Lepisosteus oculatus: one gene and its partner. The protein of the gene in region 2 purifies or fractionates together with the protein of the main gene of each other region. This does not show direct contact. Links are inferred from orthologs where the notes say so. Each region holds a gene or a part of one and is shown on either strand. Other genes may lie near its edges.

Region 1 (10,612 bases), on a different chromosome or scaffold from region 2:
AACCTTCTTCCTCAGAATCCCCCCTCCCCCGACACGCACACGCCTCTGATACTGGGGTCTGTGAGCAGGACAAGCCTACCAGAGGACCCCCCGGGCGCAAGATGGCCAACCCACGCAGGAGGCTGACCGTTTCCCCGAGAGGAACGCGTGAGCCTGCTGCCAGTCTGGAAGAGCACCTTCATGCCGGGGAGCGCAGTCTCAAACCCGAGCTGGATGAACGCGTACCTTCACACTGGCAGCAGCATCAACTGCTACTCCCAGCCCCCAGAGCCCCTGGCTGTCCTGCACTGCTCAGCAGCTCAGCAAGGCAGAGGGGCACGTTCGTGTCTCCTGCGAAGGGCTCCTAGACAAAGCCCGTGACAGTGCTCCCGGCACAACTGGCTACCGTGCTACAGGCAAAACGCCAGCAAGTAGAAAAAGCACAAGGCGATTCCTTTTCTGAAACTTAAAAACTGACACTCAAGACAGTCACTTCAAAAAGAGCTATGGAATCACACCCATTAGAATGCGCTCATTTGGTTTTGAGAACAAGGTGTAAAGTGACAAGACAGTGACATGAAGCATCTTGTTCTGAGGGCAGACGTTCAGAAGAGGGTGGAGGGTGAGGGGACGTTCCAGCACAGGGATAAGCCCAGAGACCTGGACCTCCACCTCCATGGCCTGTCTTGCCGTTTTGGACACCAGGAATGAGGTTTAAGCCTTTTTTACCCTTCTGGTATGGCTTTCTATTAGTATTGCAGCTTTTCTTTTGCTGTAAGAAATGCAAATTCTGCTCGACAGAACCGCAGTGTTTGAGCCAGGGGAGAGCAGTGTGGGAAACTCCCCTGGTATTCGCTCCTGCACAGACATCGCAGGCGGGGGGGGGGGGGGGGGGTCAGGAGGCCAGCTGGCATGACACCCATGCCCCCTGTCCCCAGATGGCTCTCTGCGTCTCTCCGCCCGGAGTGCCGGACCCTGCCCTGTGCCGCCCCGCAGGGCGCAGTCAGGTCCGTGTGCAGAGGCGCCAGCACACAGCGCTGGTCGAAAAAACCAACCGACAGCAGAGACGCTGAACGAGGCTCTGAAGCGCAGGAGGGGAATTCTGCAGGGGCGGTCGGGTCCAGGCGCCATGCTTCTTCCGAACTGATCTGCACTGGCTTGTCTGGCGCCTGGCAGCTAAGAAGCAAGAGCCATCCTAACACGCACACACCTTAACCAGGGAGGCCACCGGAGGCCCAGGGCTGCCTGCACAGTGGAGTCTGGAGGGGGAGGGATGTGTAATTATCGCCAGCAGTGCAACTGGTCTGGTGAACATGCACCACTAAGCAGGACTCCCCCACTTCCACCATGTGGTTTCCAGCTGCTTGCTTTAGCACAACGGGGAGCACAGGGCTCTCATTCGAGAGGGCCAGCTCTAGGGAGCTGGCAGGGGAAGGCCCTGCGCACTGGATCTCATAGCCTGCTACTCGGAAAGGAACAAAAAGCCATCGGAGACCAAGTTCTCAAGCGGTACGAACACAAAAAAGTCAGTACAGCCACACATTTATAACAATGCCTCGCACCTTCCCATACAGAACAAAGCACGAAAACAACAAGGAGAGAAATAGAAATGGCTCTTTCACGAGTTTTGTGCTCGGGCCACTGTAGCTGTTCTCTTCAAAGGAGTAGTTCTGCACGCAGTTTCAGTTGAAAACACCCCCTCCCCCCCGTGCCCGAGCTGGGCCGCGGCCAGGCGACGCAGGGTCAGCCACACACCCCGACCCGACAGCGGGGACATCCCAGACTCCCTCTGGCCTCTCCAGGGCTCCGCGGCTCTGAGCGCGTGGACCGAATCATGCTGGAGGTCCCTCTGGGGCGGATCGCTGCCTCAGCTCTGCCGGGGGGGGGGGGGAGGGCCAACCCCTGAGACCCCCAGCTGCAGTGCCCAGCAGGCCATGCAGTCTGCTCCTCGAGCAGGATAGGTCCCCTAGAGCCTTCTTCCCCCCGACTTCTCATAATAATAATAATAATAATAATAATAATAATAATTGCTTACACTTATATAGCGCTTTTCTGGACACTCCACTCAAAGCGCTTTACAGGTAATGGGGATCCCCTCCACCACCACCAGTGTGCAGCCCCACCTGGATGATGCGACGGCAGCCATAGTGCGCCAGAACGCTCCCCATGCAAAGCTTTTTGCAAACATGGTCCCAAAATGCTTTGAACTGAACAGCAGTACTCCTTTCAAAAAAACTCCAGCTACTCCTCCCAAAGCCCCCCGGCCGCCCCCCCCACATTCAGAAGACAAGACACTGGTAGACTTGGCATAGAAGAAAGGTGTCTGTGACCTGCTTTATTAGTGGGAGCGTCATTACAGGGAGCTGAAGGCTGACTCATACTCCTGGAGGAAGAGTCTGTCTGTCTAACGACCTGGATCCTTCTCAACGTCAACAGAAGCTAAACAGGGTGAAAGAGTGAGGGGGGGGGGGGGCAGGGGGGATCATGAAGCACGAAAAGAAATCACAGCGGTTTAAAAAAAACACATGGCACCGCAGGGAGGCGGGCGAGACCACAGGGCAGGGCAGGGTGGGCCCGCGCAGCCCCCCAGACCCGGGCGCACAGAACCCGCGCTGGTGGGGCTCCGCAGGACTGAGTCGGCACCCTGCGCCCCACCCCAAGGGTCTCCCTCGCTTCCGTGCGGCAACGTAACAGTTCTCACAGCAGCGCCTGGCCTGACAGCACGCACACGCGCTCAGCTCTTCATCATCATCATCATCATCATCACAGTCACACACTCTTTGAGACTCCCAGATGCAAGGTATCTTTTTCCAGGTGACAGCGCAAGCAGGGGCGTGTGTTTTTCAGCATCACGCAGGGAACCCCAGTCGGCTAGCTGAGCCCCATCTGCGCCCCCCCCACAGCCGGGGGTCCGGAAGAAGAGGGGGTGTGTGGGGTCCCCTCGCCCAGTCCTCCCTGCCAGCGCAAGGGCAGGCCATGAACTGGTACTGCACCACCATCCAAAACGGGGCAAAATCGCTAGGGAAACTAACCCAAAGTGGCCAGTTGATGTCACCTTGGCAACCGGGTTTGACCAGTTAAAAGTCACCCAGGCCCCCTGGGGACACCCATGGCTGCCCGGGGTATCTACTGGGGCACCAAGCCCTCTTTCCCAGTTTGAGAGGCCCAGACCACCGCTGGGCTCTCAGTTCTGATGAAAAAGGCTGCTGCTTTTCTGATTCTTTAATGTTTACTGGTGGCTCCAGGAAATAAACGCTCTTGGCACAGACCTCCGAGTGGGGAGCTGCCTCAACATGCACAGGCCACTAAGGAACAGGTGAAGATTGATTCTGGGCTGAAAGGAAAAGAATAAAGACACAACGTTTCTCCCTGTCAGCCAAAACCTCGCGTCTCCTTTCAGCCCAGAATGAAGCTCTCTCTTATCTTCTGGCCAAGACATTAGGACACACATCTCAGACCCAGCTCCCAGTATATCTACCTGTATCGTCAATTAAACAACTGCAGGATTGTGTTAGAGGCGGTTTTCAGAAAGGTCTTTCACAGCTTGAGGGCATCGGAATGCAACATGAATAGACTGGTGTTGTGGCTCAAAGGCCAGCCGGCAGCTTCAGGAGGTGTCAGATTAACTTACCGCGGTGCCACAAAACTACCTCTGCCGCAGCACTGAAGAGACAGAAATACAACACATCGGAACTAAGAAATGCAGAAAATCAGTCTCTGAGAGAGACTCTGGCGTGTACATTTTCACCTGACAGTCAAACATGCTTTTAGTTACAGTGCGTGAGAATTCCTGCAGCACAATAACACTATTTCACTCTACTACGAGCATCACAAAAAACCTTTCTGCCCAGCGATACCATCGAGCGCTGAAATAATAATGACTATGGTTCTTAAGCGCACTGGAAATCAGATCACTTGTCAACTGCAAAAATATCCTTGCAATTCTGAAGCGCTTTGCATCCCAAATAACCTTACAGCGCTTTGAATAGTAACTTGGTACACGAAACTAAGAATTAAGAAAGCCCACCTACGCTGCAATTTACCGATCTAGCGAAAAGAAGTTTGCTTTAAAAAAAAAAGCTTTGCTCGGCACTTAATAGGACGGGTCTGAGGCAGGAGGGTGAATCCTTGTCGCGCAAGCGCTGCGGTTACGAAGCGCCGTTAAATGCTCAGCAGAGCGCAGCCCGATTTGAATTAGCAGTCCGTGCAAAATAAAGCCACCGGCTTGCATAATCAGATCTTCGCAAGAACAACAAAAAAAGAAGAAATATAGCACCCACGGGGACTCACGAACTCAAACTCCGGCTTGGCTGCAGGCTGGCAGAACCGAGATCGGAGGAAGAGGGGACTGGGCGAGGGCGGGGAGTCGAGCAAATTCGAGCAATCCCTCCCCGTTTCGAAACCCTCAGACGCCCGGGGAGCAAACCCCGATGTTGTCCGCGCACGGAGGCCATTACGCTCTCGAAGTGCGCGCTTCCCCTCCGCCCGCGGTGGGCGTCTGCCGAGCGGCTGGGCGCTGAGGCGCTCGGGTTGCTACAGCCCGTCCGCCGTGCAGCTCTAGCTGGCTACCCGCCTCCTTCCTCCATGTTGCTCCCCGATCGCGACAGAAACCCCAGCGCTGGCAGGGGAGGGGGGGAGGAGGCGGCGTGCAGGGCTCCCCGGCCGCACAAAGCCGTGGGCAAGCGACCCACGGGATGAAACTGCGTCACGCACTCGCACACACAATTGCACGGGTCCTGCAGAAGGCATGAGCCCCGTGCGTCTGCAATTCCCGTGTGTCGCTAGGGCACGCACCAGCGCCAGCCTCAAGGAGCAGAAAACGCAAACCTACCTTTCAGCAGAAGAAAAGCGATGCTCGGGTAAAAAGAGAATTAAAAAAAAAAAGTTACTGCGATTTTGAACCACTCGGCCCTCGTCGTTATCTCCGGCCCAACGTGTCTGCAGAACCTGCGATTATTTTTTTAAAATAAGAAGTTCAAAATTCACGTCTCCCTGTTTTTCTCTCCCTCTATTCTCGACACAAAAGGCACCCACAGCCTCATCGACCCGCCACCTCGCGCCACGCACTGCGCAGGCGCCCCGGCGGGCCTGGGAGGTGAAGGGGGCCGGGAAGTGTAGTTTATTTTTCTAACAAGGCATTCCCCCCTTCTTCAAATTCAAAGAGCTTTATTGGCATGACCGGCGAAATACAATGCTTCCGAAAGCAATAACCGTTGGTAAATATTGACAAGCATTCAGGACAATGAGATAATATTACTCGAGAGGCCCACTCTGTCCCTCAGGCACTGACCGAAGATCAGATACTGGACTGTAGCTCTATTGAGTTTCCCCTCCCCTGAAGTAGGATAGGAAGTTGGTCTGATTCTGGCAGGTGCGGAAATTTGTGGGTTTTATGTCTTTTCCTGTGGCAGAATTGAGTAATTTCTTCCAGTGTATCAGAAAGTGTACCTCTGTCTCCAGTTTTTCATGCTCTCTGTGTCACTCAGTTTCTATGGGCAGGCTGTGGACACTGAGGCTGGCCTCCGTCAGGGTCTGTTTCACCGTGTGGTCACTCACCTGTCCAGCGTGCACTGTCCTTTTAGGATCAAGTCACGTTTGTGTTGTGCTGTTTGTGTGTGTGCGCCCCCCAGGGGATGAGGTCTTTGCACTGCGATTGGGCTGACTCTGATCTGGGGTGTTTTAGCTGTGCTGCCCCGAGGTTGGATAGTGTCGGTGTGATTCAGGACTGGCAGGCTGAGAGCACTCATTTCTTTTGTTCGCAAGCCGGTGGTAAAGTCAATGAGGTCGATAAATTCGCACCCAGAACATCGGCAGCGCGACGTCTGCATCTGATCTTTTTTATATCGACAGCACGTCTTCAAAAAACAGACGAACGAGAGCTGTGTATACGTAAACGTGACGGCGACTGTGGCTAACGTTCCCAAAGTCCCAATCGGAATGGAAGTTGCATCCTGTCTAGGACACTACAGCGCTAACATTAAATAGGCATAAAAAGTAGAGAAAACTACAACTCCCAAGGAGCCACCGCGCGTCACTGCCGGAGAAAAACAAATCGCATCGCCCATGAAAGGACAGAGCAGAAGAGTTCCGTGTCTCCAACTTTGACGACAGGCCACGGCAGTGAGTAACAAGGGAGCTTCAACAGAAGGTATGGGGTTTTTCTAATCACAATTAAAGCATTGTGATATAACGTACTTTAGCGTACTTTCAGAAAAAAAAAAACAGACGAGGAATTTGTATTCTGTAGCTTATTCCTGTAACCAGTGGCAATAACCTCTTACTGGTGACTGTAACTGCTCCTCACTATGAACACGCGTGGTCATTTGAGCGCTGTTGTTGTGGGATATCTTTGCTTTGCTTGTACGTTAGTTTTGTCGAAGGGCATTGATATTGTGGTTCAATAATCATCCCCGTTTTTAAGGTGCAAATAAGTCCAATAACAGGTGCTGGTATTCTCAATGCTGAGTCAGGTCTGTTCTTTCGTACTTGTTCAACGTCTCGTCGATGATGATGATGATGATGATAATAATAATAATAATTGAAGGGTTAAAAAGTCTTTCTCTGGACAGCATGTTCAGCAAAGCACCAGCTGCGACATTAAATGTATCTGCTGTTGATAAGACCAGGGGCCTGCCGACAAAAAGCATGTTTTAAAAATCCCAAGGAATTATTTTTGTGAAGAAGGCCAATTGTAACTACATGCTTTTAGAAAACACTGATAGCTTAATTACGTAGACAACTTCTGATTAAAGTAGAAGTTTGCATAACAAATAGAAATTAACTAAGATTGAAGTATTTTTTTTCTTTTCGAGACTTAAGCTCTTTGTATTCTTTATCAAGTAAGTGTATAAAAGGTCAGCTGTAACTTTTCGTGTTAGAACTATCTTCCTAATTCTTCCTCTCTTTGGCCAAATATACAATAAACTCCTCTTCTGCTCGACAACAAGGTCTGTGGTGGATTTTTACTCTACAAATAATAATAATAATAATAATAATAATAATAATAATAATAATAATAATAATAGTTCTCTGTAAATCTCTCTCCTTCCTGTCATGCCTGTGTTTTAGCAGAAGACACTAGGCGCAGGTGACACTGCACAGCACAGTGACCAGCTGGGAACAGGAGCAGAGATGTGAATTCACAGTCTCCCAGCTCTCACACAGAGTCAAAGAGTGTAGGGAGCAATGCCACTGTTGGAGACCGAGTTAAAGAAACGTACTGTGAGTATAACTAGAGTCGACAGTCTTCATTATGAAATATTTGAAACCCTGTGGGACCAACCTGTTAAAAATGCAGGGTGTTTCGTATTTGGTCCTGACCTTTCTGACAGAGACCGAGCAGTGTGATAAAGAAGGGGGAAAAGTCATTTGGACTTACTCCGGCAGAGTTGTTTCTTGTGGTTTTTCTCCTTGTCGAATTGTTCTGGGCCTGTGTTGGTGAGGGCAGGCTGCCTAGAAGGTTCTGCACTGTGGGGGTCGGTGGAGGACAGGTTGTCTTTGAGACAGAGGCCAGATGCAGGACAGAGTGGCACCACAGCGACTGTGCTGAAGAGGAGAACGGTGTCTGCCTCACACCTTCTTCCGTCTGGGTCTGCGTCCGGCGGGAATCTCTCCCATCGGGGGAATCAGTCCTACCGGAGAAGTCGTGCAGAAGGAAAAAAAAAGTTTCTTTTAAAAAAAAAAAGAATAAACCCAAAAGAAACCTAGAAAAAATACAATTATATTTTGTTATGAGTTATGAATATCTAAATTCCTCTTCCCCAAGTTGGAAATAGAGGTGTCAGCAAACATTGATATCTTGGGCAAGTTAGCAGTTTCAGAAAGCAATAAGAGGAAACATTAAGGTCAAGACAGGTTGTCTCGTTGTGATATCTCAGGATTCAGCCCAGGGTGTTTCTTTTCTTCCCAGAATTCTGTGACCTCCATGTTGCTGCCTGTTTTTGCCCAATGATATTGAAGGAGGAGCCCAAGGATTAGAATGATCAGAAATCAGGAGGAAGACGTAAGAAAATGTCTTTATTTCCGGTAACTGAAACTGTACAGCTAGACCAGGTCAGGGGCCCAAGCTCCACCCATCTTCTCCATCCTTAGGCACTGCTTTGTGTTTGCTGGCTGTTTCACACACCTCATCTTCCTGGTCCTTGTTACTTGGTCCGTGAGTGTCCTGTGTCTGCTGCAGTATTGATCATACCTTGATCAGCACTTCCAACTTGTCTGAACAATTTCTCTTGACCGTATTCAAGGGGAAAGTTGACTTTTATCGGAAGCTGCCTGACCCAAGCCCCCTCCCTCTCCGCTCTGCTGTGTCTCCCGTGCAGGAGTTCATCGCTGTGAGGGTCCAGGATCCAAAAATACAGAACGAGGGATCCTGGAACTCCTATGTGGACTTCAAAATATTCCTCCACGTAGGTACCGCCTCTACAGTTCCAGACGTGTCTGAATTCCGCTGTTTAAAGTGTCTCGGCTGGGACCTCCTGCGAGAACTTTAATTCCATGGAGAAGTGAGTCTGCAGACAAACGCCGCTGTAGTTTGGCCAGAGTCCTGTCACTGGATGCACTGGAAGGGGTCAGTATGTCTTGAGGCCAGCTCCAGGCTGAGTGTGGGGATCGCTGTCTCCTGACCGGGCCTTCATGAGGAAGGATTAGCTGTTAATAGGGGGAATGGTCCTAAGACCGTTTTCTCCTTTAATTCGCAGTATCCAGTGATCTGGACTTTGCTTTAAACCTCTTAACTTGGGTAGTAAAGTAGCCCAGTGGGAGAGGCTATTTTCAAAGGGATGGGAGCACTGCAGACTCACCCCTTGGGGCAGTATTGGTCTGTGTCACTGTGGAGGCAGATGGGTGAGGATAACCCCTCTTCAGAAGACCGGGGAAAGAATCAGAGTCCGGGCTACAGAGCAGAAGCGATGATCAGGCCTTCATTTCAGCTGCAGTTCAGGCGCCATCCAGCAGCATGCGAGGAACAAAAGGCTTTTGTCTCCTTTTTCTTTCTCTCCCTGTTTCCCTTGGCAGAGCTCTCTTTACAGCCAGATTAGAGAAGTTACAATCCTCACTCCCACACAGCCCCCGTTTCCAGCAGCTGGGTGACAGCCCTCTCTTGCCTTCCTGTGATCAAAACCTGAATTTGTAGCTGCCCGCAGTGTGCACATTATGTGAGAATCACAAGAATATATTGTTAACAAAAGAAGCATTTTAAACACAAGCTTTTTACAGATGCAAGGTCACTGGGGCTTAGATTATAGGCAGAAGTGTTATGATTGCAATATTTTTTAGATTAGCGCTGTGTTATATAAAAGATAAATTAAAAAAATCCTTCAACTGCGAATGCAAGCGTCTACTCCAGCTCAGCTCTGAGAGGCCCAGAGCCATCTGCGCCAGTTTCTCTGCCTTTTCCCTGTTCTGAAAGGGTCAGTGATACAAAGAGATTGTGAAAACCTACTGCTCTGTGCCCTGGGTGGGCACAATGACCTAGAGTCTAGCTGACCTAAACTGCAGCCCGTATCAAACAGCAGCAAGGAAGCCGGCCCTGTCTTGTTCTCACACTACACAGGGTGCTGACCAGTGTCAGCCCGCTCAGGAAGCAGTGATGGTTCCGCTTTAGGGCAGAAATCAAGCAAATTTCACCTCGTGAGCAACAGAGAGGCTGTGCTGCGACATCAGAATATATGTAGCTTGACAGACACTCTTCCCTTTAAAACGGGCACTTTTCCATGTGAAGTACCTTACGGTCCTAAGGAACTTTGGGACTTTCCACAAAACTCAGATTCCACATCTCGCTTCCTGCTGCCTCCAAACAGCAGCTCGTCCGCTCTCCCTAGATAATAATTGATGGCTTCTTCAGCAAGAGGAACTTGCTCAGTGAGGAGACTCTTTTGCCTGGGCAGAGGCTGGCGGGCCGGTTCTGTCTGTAGAGAGGCACATTTGTGCTGGAGCACGCAACAGCGACTGGAGCGAGGGAGGATGTGCACAGCCTGGTTTGTGGTCGCTGGTGAGAGACGGTGCTTCGACTGCGAGACTCACTGGTGGGTCGTCTGTAAACCCCGTTCAGACACTGACATTTCACTTCCTAAAGAGTGCAACCTGCAGATCTCAGGCTCTCCTGTTTATTGTTTGGTTTCCTACTTGTACTGTATCATCTGGGTTAAAAAGCGTTAAATATTTTAAAGCTGTTGTGTGGCTCAGTTGAGCTGCTTTTAAACTCTTGTAAGGAGTTTAAAAGGGAAGGAGCCTTGTTTAGTTTCTGTGTTGCTCTATGATTATTATTTCTATAAAATTATTGGCGCAGCTGCCTCACAGCTCTTGGGTCCTAGGTTCGATTCTGAGAGCGTGCTTGTTCTCCCTGTGTTTGTGTGGGTTTTCTCTGGGGGCTCCAGTTTTCTCCCGTGGTCCAAAGACATTCTGTCCTGTTTAAATGGGGTCGCCCGGCTTTTCCTGAGGGACGGACAGCCAATCCAAGTTGCAGCCCGAGGAATTAAAGGCGTGCAAACCAAGCAGGCAGCTGCTAAGAGTGTTCCGACGCCCAGATGCACCACACGCGTGTCTGCCGAGGACTAGAGAGCACTGATCTCCCATCTGTGCCTCCCCCCCTTGCCAAAACGGACCCGCCCCAGAGGCCACTGAAGAGATCTCAGCC
Region 2 (10,865 bases):
ACACTCAGTGACGGTGCCCAGCTTTCCTGCAACATTTCTTTACCCTGTGGTATAAGCAGCCATCTGCATTAGCACATCGGGCTTCGAGTGACTCACGCAAGGCCCAGGCTCCCTTAACCCTATGGATGCGTCGCCGGTGGCTCCGAGTTTGGCCCTGTGTCACACTGAATCGCGCAAGGGGAGAAAACGCACACAGCACACGGCGCCTCGCAAGAGGAGACAAGAAGGGGGGGTGCACAGCACAGCACATCAACAAGTGAGGCTGCAGAGTCATGGATATCGAGATCCGCTTTCCACCTCGGCTCAAGGACGGCGCGCAAGGACGCCCCGGAGCCTGCTCGGGGTGACACGACGGGAGAGCCGCCGCCGCCGCCGCGGCCGAGCCAGGGACTTCCTGGTCCCGAGCCCTCCGATCCAGCCACCGGCCGCCCCCACTCCTGCCCTTCACAGCCAAGCAACGCCATTTCGATATCAGGCAACCCGGTGCCCTGTGGACACTCCCCCATCCTTCGCAAGCAGAGGTGCAGTACAGGATTTCAAGGGGGTGACTGGACACGTCATAATGAGCCTGGGATTCTCACCTCTGTCCCACTCGGTTTAAAGCACAGAAGTGAGGCTATTTTACAACAGGCAGCGGTGGGGAAAGTGGTGCGTAATTGCTCCTGTAATACAAGACTACTGCAGAAGTGAGGGCAAACTACACATTGATTAGAGACCAGCATATGCACAACAGAAGAGGTCACTTATAAGAGGGAATATATTTAAAAGCTCAAGAACTGTCATTAAGAAGCTAGAGCAAAAATACAATAGAACCAGATTATTCAGCTGGGCTGTTACTTTCTTATAGTTCATCATATTACAAAATGAAGGTACAGTACATGTACTGGGGGAGGGGGGGTTGGAGGAGATAACTTCAAGTCAAAGTACATCACAATAGGTGTATTAAGTGTATTGTATATTAAGCAATTTCAAGTGAAAAAAGCCAGAATAAGTGAGCTAGCTTTAGATCAGAAATCAACTCCAGACAAAAGTGGACTTTTATTAAGAGGGGACTACAAGTATCATAGGCATACAAATCCATAGTCAGAATACTAGACTGATTTTAAATGTACTTTTTTAAAGAATGTATCATGAACTGAGCCGACCTCTGTTACAGCTCTACCAATAACTAAACCTGCTACTTTATTTCACGTCTGATAAATCCGATTAGACCTAAATCTAAACCTAAAATAAAAACTAAGTTACCGTGCGAACATATAAAAATAAACTTAATAAAACATGACCTATATTTTCTCTTTCTGTAATGCGTACCCTCAAAACAAGTTAAATTTAAGTTCTCAAGGTACTACCCAGTAAAAAGAAATTTCCCTTTATGATTTTTTTTTTAAAAACAGACTTCCGTAGGAGTCAGGCTTCTGTCGGCGACAGGAAATAAGCAGGCCGCGGTCCCCAGCCTGCTTGCTGGCACACCGGCTTTCACGTAATAAATACGGAGAGAAGACCCAACTGCCCAACTAGTGCTACAAAAACTGTTCGAGTATGTTAGAATAGTTACTCTAAACGTATTTTCTCAATCCTCACACCCTATTCGCTCATGATATGCAAGATTTTGTTCTTAGTTGTTTCACTTTAAGACGAGATCCACAGCGAGCGAAACAGGAACTCTTGACAATTACGTAACGCTTCCCAGATATTAACATTTTATTTCAAAGACTTTTTTTTTTAATCCTTGACTTACGCAGAAAGGATACTTAAAATCCACAAAATCGGATAAGGTGGTTTAAGAGCAAATTTTCCATGTATCCTTCTTCCGGTGTGCTCACACACACTGCTGACTACATAAAGGGGGATTACAAAATAAAACGATAAAGTTCTTACATCAGTTTTGGGCAATTCGGTATTTTCAGGCCGATTACATTTTTGCAAAAATCAGGAAATTCATTAAAAAAAACTCTGTTCCCTGTTAACCGACTCCCACACGTGAAGACACAGTAGGCCCCTAGTCTAAAAAATGCCGGTTCAATTGCAAACCGGCATTTCCTATTTACAGTGCAATTCTTCAGCCGTAACAACAAACAAGTACAAATTATCACTGCAAACACACGCACACATATATAAACACACAAACACGAGCGAGACTATAAAATAACTAGCCCAGGAAAATCTGAACGAGATGTTTTAATGCATCCGGGTGGCATTTTGTTCCATCACTCAATGTACAAACTTTTGCGATCCAGTTTTCTCTCTTTTTTTTAAAAAAAAAGACAGTAAAACGCACATCCCACGATAAAAGAACGTATTAAAACGCAGACCTAAAAAAACAAATACCGATGACAAACGCAGACACGCAGGCCCCCGTCACCCACTCACCAACCCCCCCAAAAAGGAAATTAAAGAACGAGACGCTCCTGTCCTCGGTTAAAATGTTTGAAGCGGTAACATAACTCCCAAAATAGACGATCGAGTCTAAAAAAGACTAGTCTAGTGCACTATCTTTAAATACTCTGTAAAGACAGCTCCATTTCACGTGTGCTGCGTTAGGTTAGACATGCGAGTACAGCCAAAATATTTCAGTTACCTTGCAAAAGCGAGCGGTCGTCCAAGCTTCCGAAATCCTGTCCCTCGTCTTCACTCCCGGACATTTTGTGCTAAATGGTTTTCCTATAAATATATCTGAAAGTGAGTTTGTGTGTGTGTGTATGTGTGTGTGTGTCGGTACCGGGGAGGGAATTATCGAGGGAGGGGGTGGTAATGGTTGGAGGGGGTTGGAGGGAGCCGACGAGCCGATGATGAAAAAGCCCTTCTTTGTTATTTTACGAGAAAAAGAGTCACACAGTGCATAAACCCGGTCTTCGTAGAAATTTCTCCGCTACCGGCAATACCAGCGAGAAGGACCGAGTTTGTATCCCAAACTAGAATCGATGCTCCTCACACACACACTACTGAAACCAGGGGGGGGGGGCGCCGCCAAACTCAACGTTAAAAGGATATAAACTCTCCGGAAAAGAAAAACTGTCGATGTTTTCAGTTAGATGTCTAAACTGCAATACTAGTACTATACCGGCTTCTGGAAAGTGGCCGGCAGCGAAGTAAAGTGAGCTGGGAGTTGCATACAAAATAATAAGTATTCCGGATAAAAGGGTCAAAGTTGGCGTTCAGCGGTCTCCTCTTGAATGTCCCCCCCTTTATACAAAGAAGACAACCGACGTGTCGGAGTAGAAATGTCCGACTCAGGAGGGTTGTATAATCCCGAGTTGTGCCAGGTTACGAGTAACCCCAAACAAAAAGAGCGATTACACGAGGGGAGTTCAACAACGATTTCCTTGCCGGCTCAGGAGCGAAGACAGCTTCTTCGAAGAGGCGACTGATTTCCGTGGGTATTTCGGGCACGACAAAATGTCTGGTCCAGTCCGGCCGCACAGTCATCCGCACACACTCGCCCTCTCCCTCTCACACACACAAAGAGACCGGGGCAAACCGAAAAGCGAGAGAGAGGCAGGCATCCCATAATAATAATCCTGTACACCCCCCCCCCCCCACTCTATAATACACACTAACACTCCACACGCAGTTACCCCAGCAACGGACAGACCATAATACTCCATCCCATGTATATACACACGCACGCAAGACACCCCCTGGGCTCTTCCGGCCCCTAGCAACCGCCGTTGCCGTGGAGACGGTCGCGCCCCCCCCCTTCCGTGCCGACGGCCATCCCATAATACCCGGGCTCCACTTCGCGGATCACCCATCCCATAATATGCATATCTCCAAAAAATTATCAGTCGCCTGGTCGCCCAGGCAACCCAGGCCACAAATGACAGGCCATAATACTCTCCTACTGTACAATGTGTGCACACGCACTGTACATGCTCGGCACACACCAGCTACACAGGCCGATTCAGACGGCACACACGTGTGCACGCTGCTCTCATGCAGACTGTGCGCACACACACGGAGTTTGCACAGCCTTACAGTCTGCTGGTTTCCATAGAGACCCCTGACATTGTGAGGTCCCAGCGACAGCCTGACAGGGTGTCAGTCGGTGTGTACAGAGCACTGTCAGTGTGCTGTAGAGCTGTGCTCATGTCCCCATACCTGCTCATCGCAAAACAGAGGTCTCACATGTTCAGATAATCTCCACCTCCAAACACAGGCACAGTCAAAACATCCAGTGTCCCCATGACATAAACAGTACAAGCCTGAGTTAGGCCTCACAAGAGACACAAGGCCTAAAATCTACCACTCTGCAGTGCTGCTGTGTTTGAGTCTGCTCCCTTTCTGTGCTTGTGGGCATGTGGCATTACCTACTCTTTGTGCCCGGGCTGCTTAATTTCATATGGCAGTACTGTGTAATAATAACAACAACACAGACTAGACTCCATTCCTCTCTCTCTTTGTTGCTATAGAGATTTTTTTACAGGGGGGGTGTCATCCCATAATGACCAATCAGGAGAGAGAAAAGTGAGGGGGAGGGTTGGTTGTCATGGAAGCAACCCCCCCCCCTCATTACCTTCCCCCCTTTAGATATCCCATAATACTAATAGTAACATCCAGACCCAACTACACCCCATAATAATAAACCATAGGCATGGGTGCTAAAGTGTGTGTGTACTTGAGGGGGACATGTTAGGATGACTGATGTGCTACCCGGTTGCCATGGAAGCTGACTGACAGACCATAATTAGCACCTGACAACCTCCCACCTCACTGGACAGCCCATAATATTCACCCTGACAGCTGAAAATCCTGAGAGAGCATCGCCAGGGGATACAGGGAGGATAGTGGCTAAGGAGACTACAGCAGACAGATGGACCAACAGATGCAAAGCCACAGACTGACATCAAGAAACACAGACAGGCAGACAGAGAGACAGGCACAAGAAGAGGTTAATTCCACCTTCCCTGCTCTAACCTTCACAGAGGGGCTTATACGCACCTGGTGTACTGATATAAACAGGCCGAGTGAAACACCCACAGGACATGCATGAACACATAGAAACAGAGGCGGACAGGCTGAGGAACACACAGGCAGAAAACCAGAAACAGACAGTCGCACGCAGACATTGTTTCAGACAATTACATGCAAATTCTCTGCCAAAAATAGCTCAAAACACAAATTAAATTCAGGCACAGCATTAGGCAAAGCTATTATTGTTTGATACTGTACACTCTGCATACTGTAACAGAGCAGAACAGTACTGTTACGCAGTGAGTACAGTACAGCACAGCACTGGGAATGCATAATGTAGCAATAAAGTTATTTCACAATCGCCTTTGCTTACAGCTCGAAAAAGTGTGATAGACAGTGGTGGAATACAGCATTTTCAGCAATGCGAAACCCGTAAGATCACATTAGACCACGGTTGGCCAGTGGGTAAACCTGCCATCCCGGGACCCGAGACCTGTGCAGGAGAAGATACTTTATTGTCCACTACGGTGGTGGTGTCTCGCAGAGCCGTGGGATGTGGAAGCTGGCCTGCAGTGGGCCAACGCACTGACACGCTCCCAGAATGGGCGATGCCCTGACCGTCGCTCACTCCTTCCCCAGCCGAGTGACACTCCCGACTGCGGAGTGTTTTTTTTTGTGCTGTACAATACTTTCTTTTTATTTCTTTCAATCCCTGGCCCCATTCGACCCGGCGTGCACGTGCCTCGTCCAGGAATGTCCCAGGAATGTTCTGTGAGTCTAGGTGCTCCGTGAACACGTGTGGTACGCCCGATCCCCCATCACCAGGATCGACGGGGTTCTGGGGTGCCTTCCGTGAAACCTGCAATCAGAATGTTCTGGATTCGGGGGAGGTGCTGCACCTGACAACAGCGAGCAGCTGGAGCGGCGCTCGCACTGCGCGCGGCCGCAGACGAGCAGAGAGAGGCCCGAAGCAGTGCGAACTCTTTCTCAGGATGCGTTCCTCTAATGACCCTGGGGGGCCTCTCTTCCCGCCCTTCAAATTCTCCCTCTCAACCTCCCCCACCTCCCCCTCCACCCCCCCCCCGCCAACCCTCCTCGGCCAGCAGCCTGTGGGACACAGAGGCTGCCCGCACACATCCCATAATTTCCCAGCTCCCCCTCCCCCCTCCCTCCAGCTCCGCGCACAGCCCATAATAGTCCGGCCCTGCCCTCCCTCTCCCCCCCCCCCCCACACATCCCATAATAACCGGTCTGCTCACACACCACCCACACCAACACAGTTCCAGAGAGAGCGTCTGTGTGTGTGTATACAGTGTGGGTCTGTGTCTGTACGGCTAAGCAAACAGACACCGTTTTCCCCAAAGCGCACTGCTCTCTGCGGTCCGACGGCCACTGGCGCAGACAGGCAGAAAGTCAGCAGCCTCTCTGGGAGACAGGGCAGAATGTGCAGAGCTGCGCTGGTGGCTGCAGAAGCTGTCCACATTGACGTCACACGCTAAAGAGCTCTGACCAGTCCACATCTGAGCGGACGCCGGCTCTCCTGGACCCCGATCCCCATCCAGGAAATCTCCCGGTAATCCGGTCCAGGGGGGGCACCTTTCATCCAGAGACTCTCAGGGCCCCCGGCTGCAGGTCCGCAGACTGGGAATGTGGCCGGCGTCCAGTGGGGCAAGGGAACGGTGATCACCCGGAGCCGTTGGAATTTCAAAAGCACCTTCTACCCTCCCCACCCCCGAGGGAGTGGAAAATGGGACATTTTCACAGCTTTCGAAAGAACCTCAAGAGCTTGCGGGCCCGAGCTCTCCCCTGCCGGGTCCTGCGCTTGGTGCCGCTGTCCCGCTGTCCCGCTGCCTCTGCGGCGGAGTCTGAGCAGGCGGCCCGTCTGTCAGGCTGTCCTGTCTTCCCGCTGCTCCGCCACCTGAGCTCAAAGAAAACTCACCCCCATCCTACAGGGCTGCACTGTTGGTTTTAATATCATAATAATAATAATAATAATAATAATAATAATAATAATAATAATAAGTACAAGTAGGGAGCTGCGTCACCATGCGTAGACTGCAAAGGAACAGGTAACAGGTTTACTCCAGGCTGAAAAGAGAAGAAAGGAAACACAATGTTTCGTCTGTGGGGCCTTCTTCCAGTGTATTATTATAATAATAATAATAAAACACAGAATTGGTGTCCCATTAATGGCGTATCCTTCTTTTTGCCCATGACTTGCTCATTGAGGCTCCAGCTCCCTGTAATTCTGGATAAAGCAGTTCAGAGGCTGTTGAATAAGAATAAGAATAAGAACTGTTAGGGAGGGTTCTACAAATATCTAATATATCTGACCGAATTAAAAAATGTTTGAAATAATAATACATTAATAATAATAATAATATACGCGGGGCTATACAATGGGTTTAAAGTAAATAATCATCATGCAGGGTTAAAAAGTTTGTTCAATATAATAAAACAATGAGAGAAATCACAGCAGGCTATGCTGTTGGCTGACAGGGTAAAAACTATGCAGAACCGGGCAGGTCAGGGATCTGAGCCGTTTCTGTACAGGGGAGGGCTGTGCTTTCCTCTGCTGGAGGGTGACATCAGCACTGCACACTGGAACGCCGGTCTCCCACTACTGCTACTGCTGCGGCTCACACACACTCACGCGCGCGCGCACGCACACACACACACACTCTCGCGCGTGCACACCGCATCCCATAATAAGCCCGCTCTGCTGGGTGTGACCAGACAAAGGCCATCCCATAATAAGCCAGGACCCAAACGCATCCCATAATAGTTGGAGCGCTGCTAAGTGACTGATGGAGTCAAAAGAGGAACGTGGGGGTGTGTGCGTCACACAATTATGCTAAGTATGAAAATGATGCAGCAATTCTTACACTACATGTATTTTTACTGTAGAGGTGTATAAAGTTTCTCTGTCTCTCCTCTTCGAACAGTGATAGTTACTTCCTCTCACCTGTCTTTCTGAGATTCTACATTCATGTCAATCTATTGAGTTGTCTGTGAGACTGTTAATGGTCCAGGATGGTACTGTACATCAGTCGGTGTGTCTGTCTGTCCCATTCTGTCTATCTTCTTGTCTATATCTGCCTCTGTTCCCACATTGTCTCTCCATTCATCGCTTTCTGTCTGAACCTTTGAGATTCTGTCCGTCTCTCTTTGCTCAGAATGTAAGGAAGCTTGACAGTGAGTGGTAAGTGTGCCCATCTGTCCCATCTGGTAATAGCCTTATCTGATCCAAGAGCTCATGCTCTTATTGGCTTCAGCCCCATGTTTGTTCCACACCCCCACAACCCTTTGTGTAAAGTCCAGTCCTCTGCACCTTTTTTGTAATGCAATGCCCCTGTGTTTCCACTTTGTGTGCCCCTCCGGTTGGTGTTTTTCGCTGTTGATTCCTCTGGTTTCACTTTGGCAGTGCCTTTGAGCACTTTTTTGATACTGTTTGAATCAGCTCACCTCCGTTCGAAGCACAGAAAGATTCGGATCTTCTTGCCTGTCAGTGTAGGACACTCCTTCAATTCCCGGAATGTACCCAGTTGTGGTTCTGCAGGAATTTCTCTCCCTCTCTGTCTCTGTTCTCTCCACTTATCTGCTTGTAATGTGTGTCCGTATCTGGATGTGATAAAACCACAGCCCTGGTTCTTCAGAGCAGGGGTGTTACCCTGGATGTTCTGGCTAAATTTAATTCTGGGCTTGAATGATCTGGCCTCTCTACAGCACCCCCTTAAATCAACTTGTGAAGCCAGTTTCTCACTCCCCCAGCTGATCTGCTGTAAAGTGGCGCCGCTGGGATGCTCTTACGTGGGTACTGTACCTCAGTGCTGGGTGAAGTGTGTCTTCTCCCGTCCGTAAAGAGCTTTGCGAGGAAAAGCATTATATACTGTACATAAGCAAGGAACTTCTCATCATTTATGAACAGAACCTCCTCAGGCTGTGAAAAAGAAGACTCAGAGGGGACCTAACTGAAGATTTTAAAACCGCAAAAGGTATGAACGCCGGCTTCAATGGTGGAACAAGGCCATTTCTGTGCACCAAGGGTTGTGGGTGTCTGGCACAAGCTCCTGAGGCTTCCTGAGAAAGATTCTCGGGTTCCTTCAAGAACGGCCCAGGAGAGATGCTTGGATCTAGAAGTGAAATAAACAAAGGGTCTGCGATGTAAAAGAGAAAATTAAAACAAAAGATTCACAGGAGTTCTGTCTGCTGGGACTATTGGCTTTGTGTGTTTTCTTCTTCCGGGAAATGAAACCCTGTAAAAGGTCAAATTCCTCTCTTGACTCTCATTTAATATGGTTCACTGAAGATTCGGTGCAATTTCAGCTCTAGAAACTTTCCAGGTATGAACCTTTAAAAAAGGGATTTCACAAGCAGAGACAGAGCCTAGGGAGAGTGATGTGCAATGATGTTGGTGAAACCCTGTGTTTCTGAGCACCAGTGCCGAAGTTAGGACCCCAGCCTGCTTGGAGAACTACCAGCGGAGGTGAGATCTGAACCAGTGCTGTCGCAGGAACATTTCACACACAGAACAGGCCTCACTCTCTCTCTCTCCCTATCCCTCTGCCCCCCTCCCCCATATGCAAAGAGAGACAGGGAGGAGTCATTTCCAGAATGACTCCCATCTCATAATACTCCCCAGACGTCCGCAGTTACCAAGGGCAACGCTCTTGTAATGAGGTCAGCCGGCCAGCCCATAATAGTCTGCACCAACCACAACCTTCCCCCCCTCCCCGCCACCCCTCATCCTATCCTACCTACACACTGAAATCTATGCTCTGAATATACCGCAAGGCATACATGCAGACGTCATACGCATTCATGCTGTATGCACACACGAGTCTGGCCTAATAAAAGAGACGTCTCTGGAATTCCAATAGGGCACCCCAGTTACTTGACAGCACACAGTTACTAATGACAGAAGCATCTGGGAGAGACAGAAAGAGATCGAGGGGCTACAGAGGTGGCCTTTGCGACATACTAATCAGAATTGACCATGGCGAATTCGCACAGTCATTTGGCTCTCTGTGGTGGTTTGTTGGCACAGTGGGTAGCATTAATGCCCCCCTTCCATAGGGCCCTGGGTTCAATTGCTGGGGTGCTGTTGGTGTGGAGTTTGCATGTTCTCCCCTGTGTTTGAGTTTCCTCCCACAATCCCACAAAGACAAACTGGTAGGTTAACTGGTCTCTGGGAAAACTGGCCCTGGTGTGAGTGTGTGCCCTGTGATGATCGGGCGTCCTGTTTAGGGGTGCCTCCTGCCTTGCGCCCCCTTGCTTGCTGGGATAGGCTCTGGCTCCCCTCTGACCCAGAACTGGATAAAGCAGTTAGAAAATGGAAGGATGAGTTTTGCTTTTTCAAGAGGAGTTCTCTCTGCGTTTTCAACCATCAGTGAGCTTTCACTGGAATCTTTATCCGGTACAGGGTCACAGGAGAGCTGGAGCCTGTCTCAGCAAGCAAGAGGTACTGTACAATGTAGGATATATCCTGGACGAGACGCCAGTGACTCTGCATATCAGACTTTTATCTTATCCACATTAATTTCCAAGTGTTGGCCCTGTGCTGAAAAGTTCTAAGGCTTGTGCTGTTTTTATAAAGCTTTCACAAACGATTTGTCATCAAACTGATGGATGGATCCTGACATCCATTGGAGCAACATACTAAATACTGTCATTCTAACTGTTACACAGTAAATTACTCGCTCATCATATAGTGTGTCAAACAGTATTAACCTAACACTCTGCTTTGCACAGTGCAGTGCTCATTACAGCTCTAACACCCTGAGTCGCACAGCACAGATCTCAGTATATCTCTAACACACTAAGTTACACAGTGCAGCGCTCAGTACAGCTCTGACACAATAAATTACACAGCCCGGAGCTCAGTACAGCTCTGACACACTGAGTTACACAATGCAGAGCTCAGTACAGCTCTGACACACTGAGTTACACAATGC

The links.
Region 1: the proteins of chd4b (region 2) and cbx1b purify together in Homo sapiens (affinity purification with mass spectrometry; 7 studies listed by BioGRID and IntAct, with this or other methods). This does not show direct contact. The link is inferred for Lepisosteus oculatus from reciprocal best matches to the Homo sapiens genes CHD4 and CBX1.

What each region holds. Positions count from the first base shown.
Region 1 is NC_090723.1:9,003,693-9,014,304, forward strand, and holds the start of cbx1b (chromobox protein homolog 1), read right to left. Parts: upstream 5,059-10,612; 5' UTR 4,811-5,058; intron 4,801-4,810; exon of another isoform or gene 4,260-4,800; intron 3,643-4,259; 5' UTR 3,458-3,642; intron 2,419-3,457; 5' UTR 2,359-2,418; coding exon 2,310-2,358; intron 1-2,309. Other genes in the region: sorting nexin-11, read left to right, coding at 7,958-7,981, 8,298-8,384. UniProt on the Homo sapiens protein: Component of heterochromatin. Recognizes and binds histone H3 tails methylated at 'Lys-9', leading to epigenetic repression. Interaction with lamin B receptor (LBR) can contribute to the association of the heterochromatin with the inner nuclear membrane.
Region 2 is NC_090718.1:3,157,269-3,168,133, forward strand, and holds the start of chd4b (chromodomain-helicase-DNA-binding protein 4), read right to left. Parts: upstream 3,885-10,865; 5' UTR 2,643-3,884; coding exon 2,579-2,642; intron 1-2,578. UniProt on the Homo sapiens protein: ATP-dependent chromatin-remodeling factor that binds and distorts nucleosomal DNA. Acts as a component of the histone deacetylase NuRD complex which participates in the remodeling of chromatin.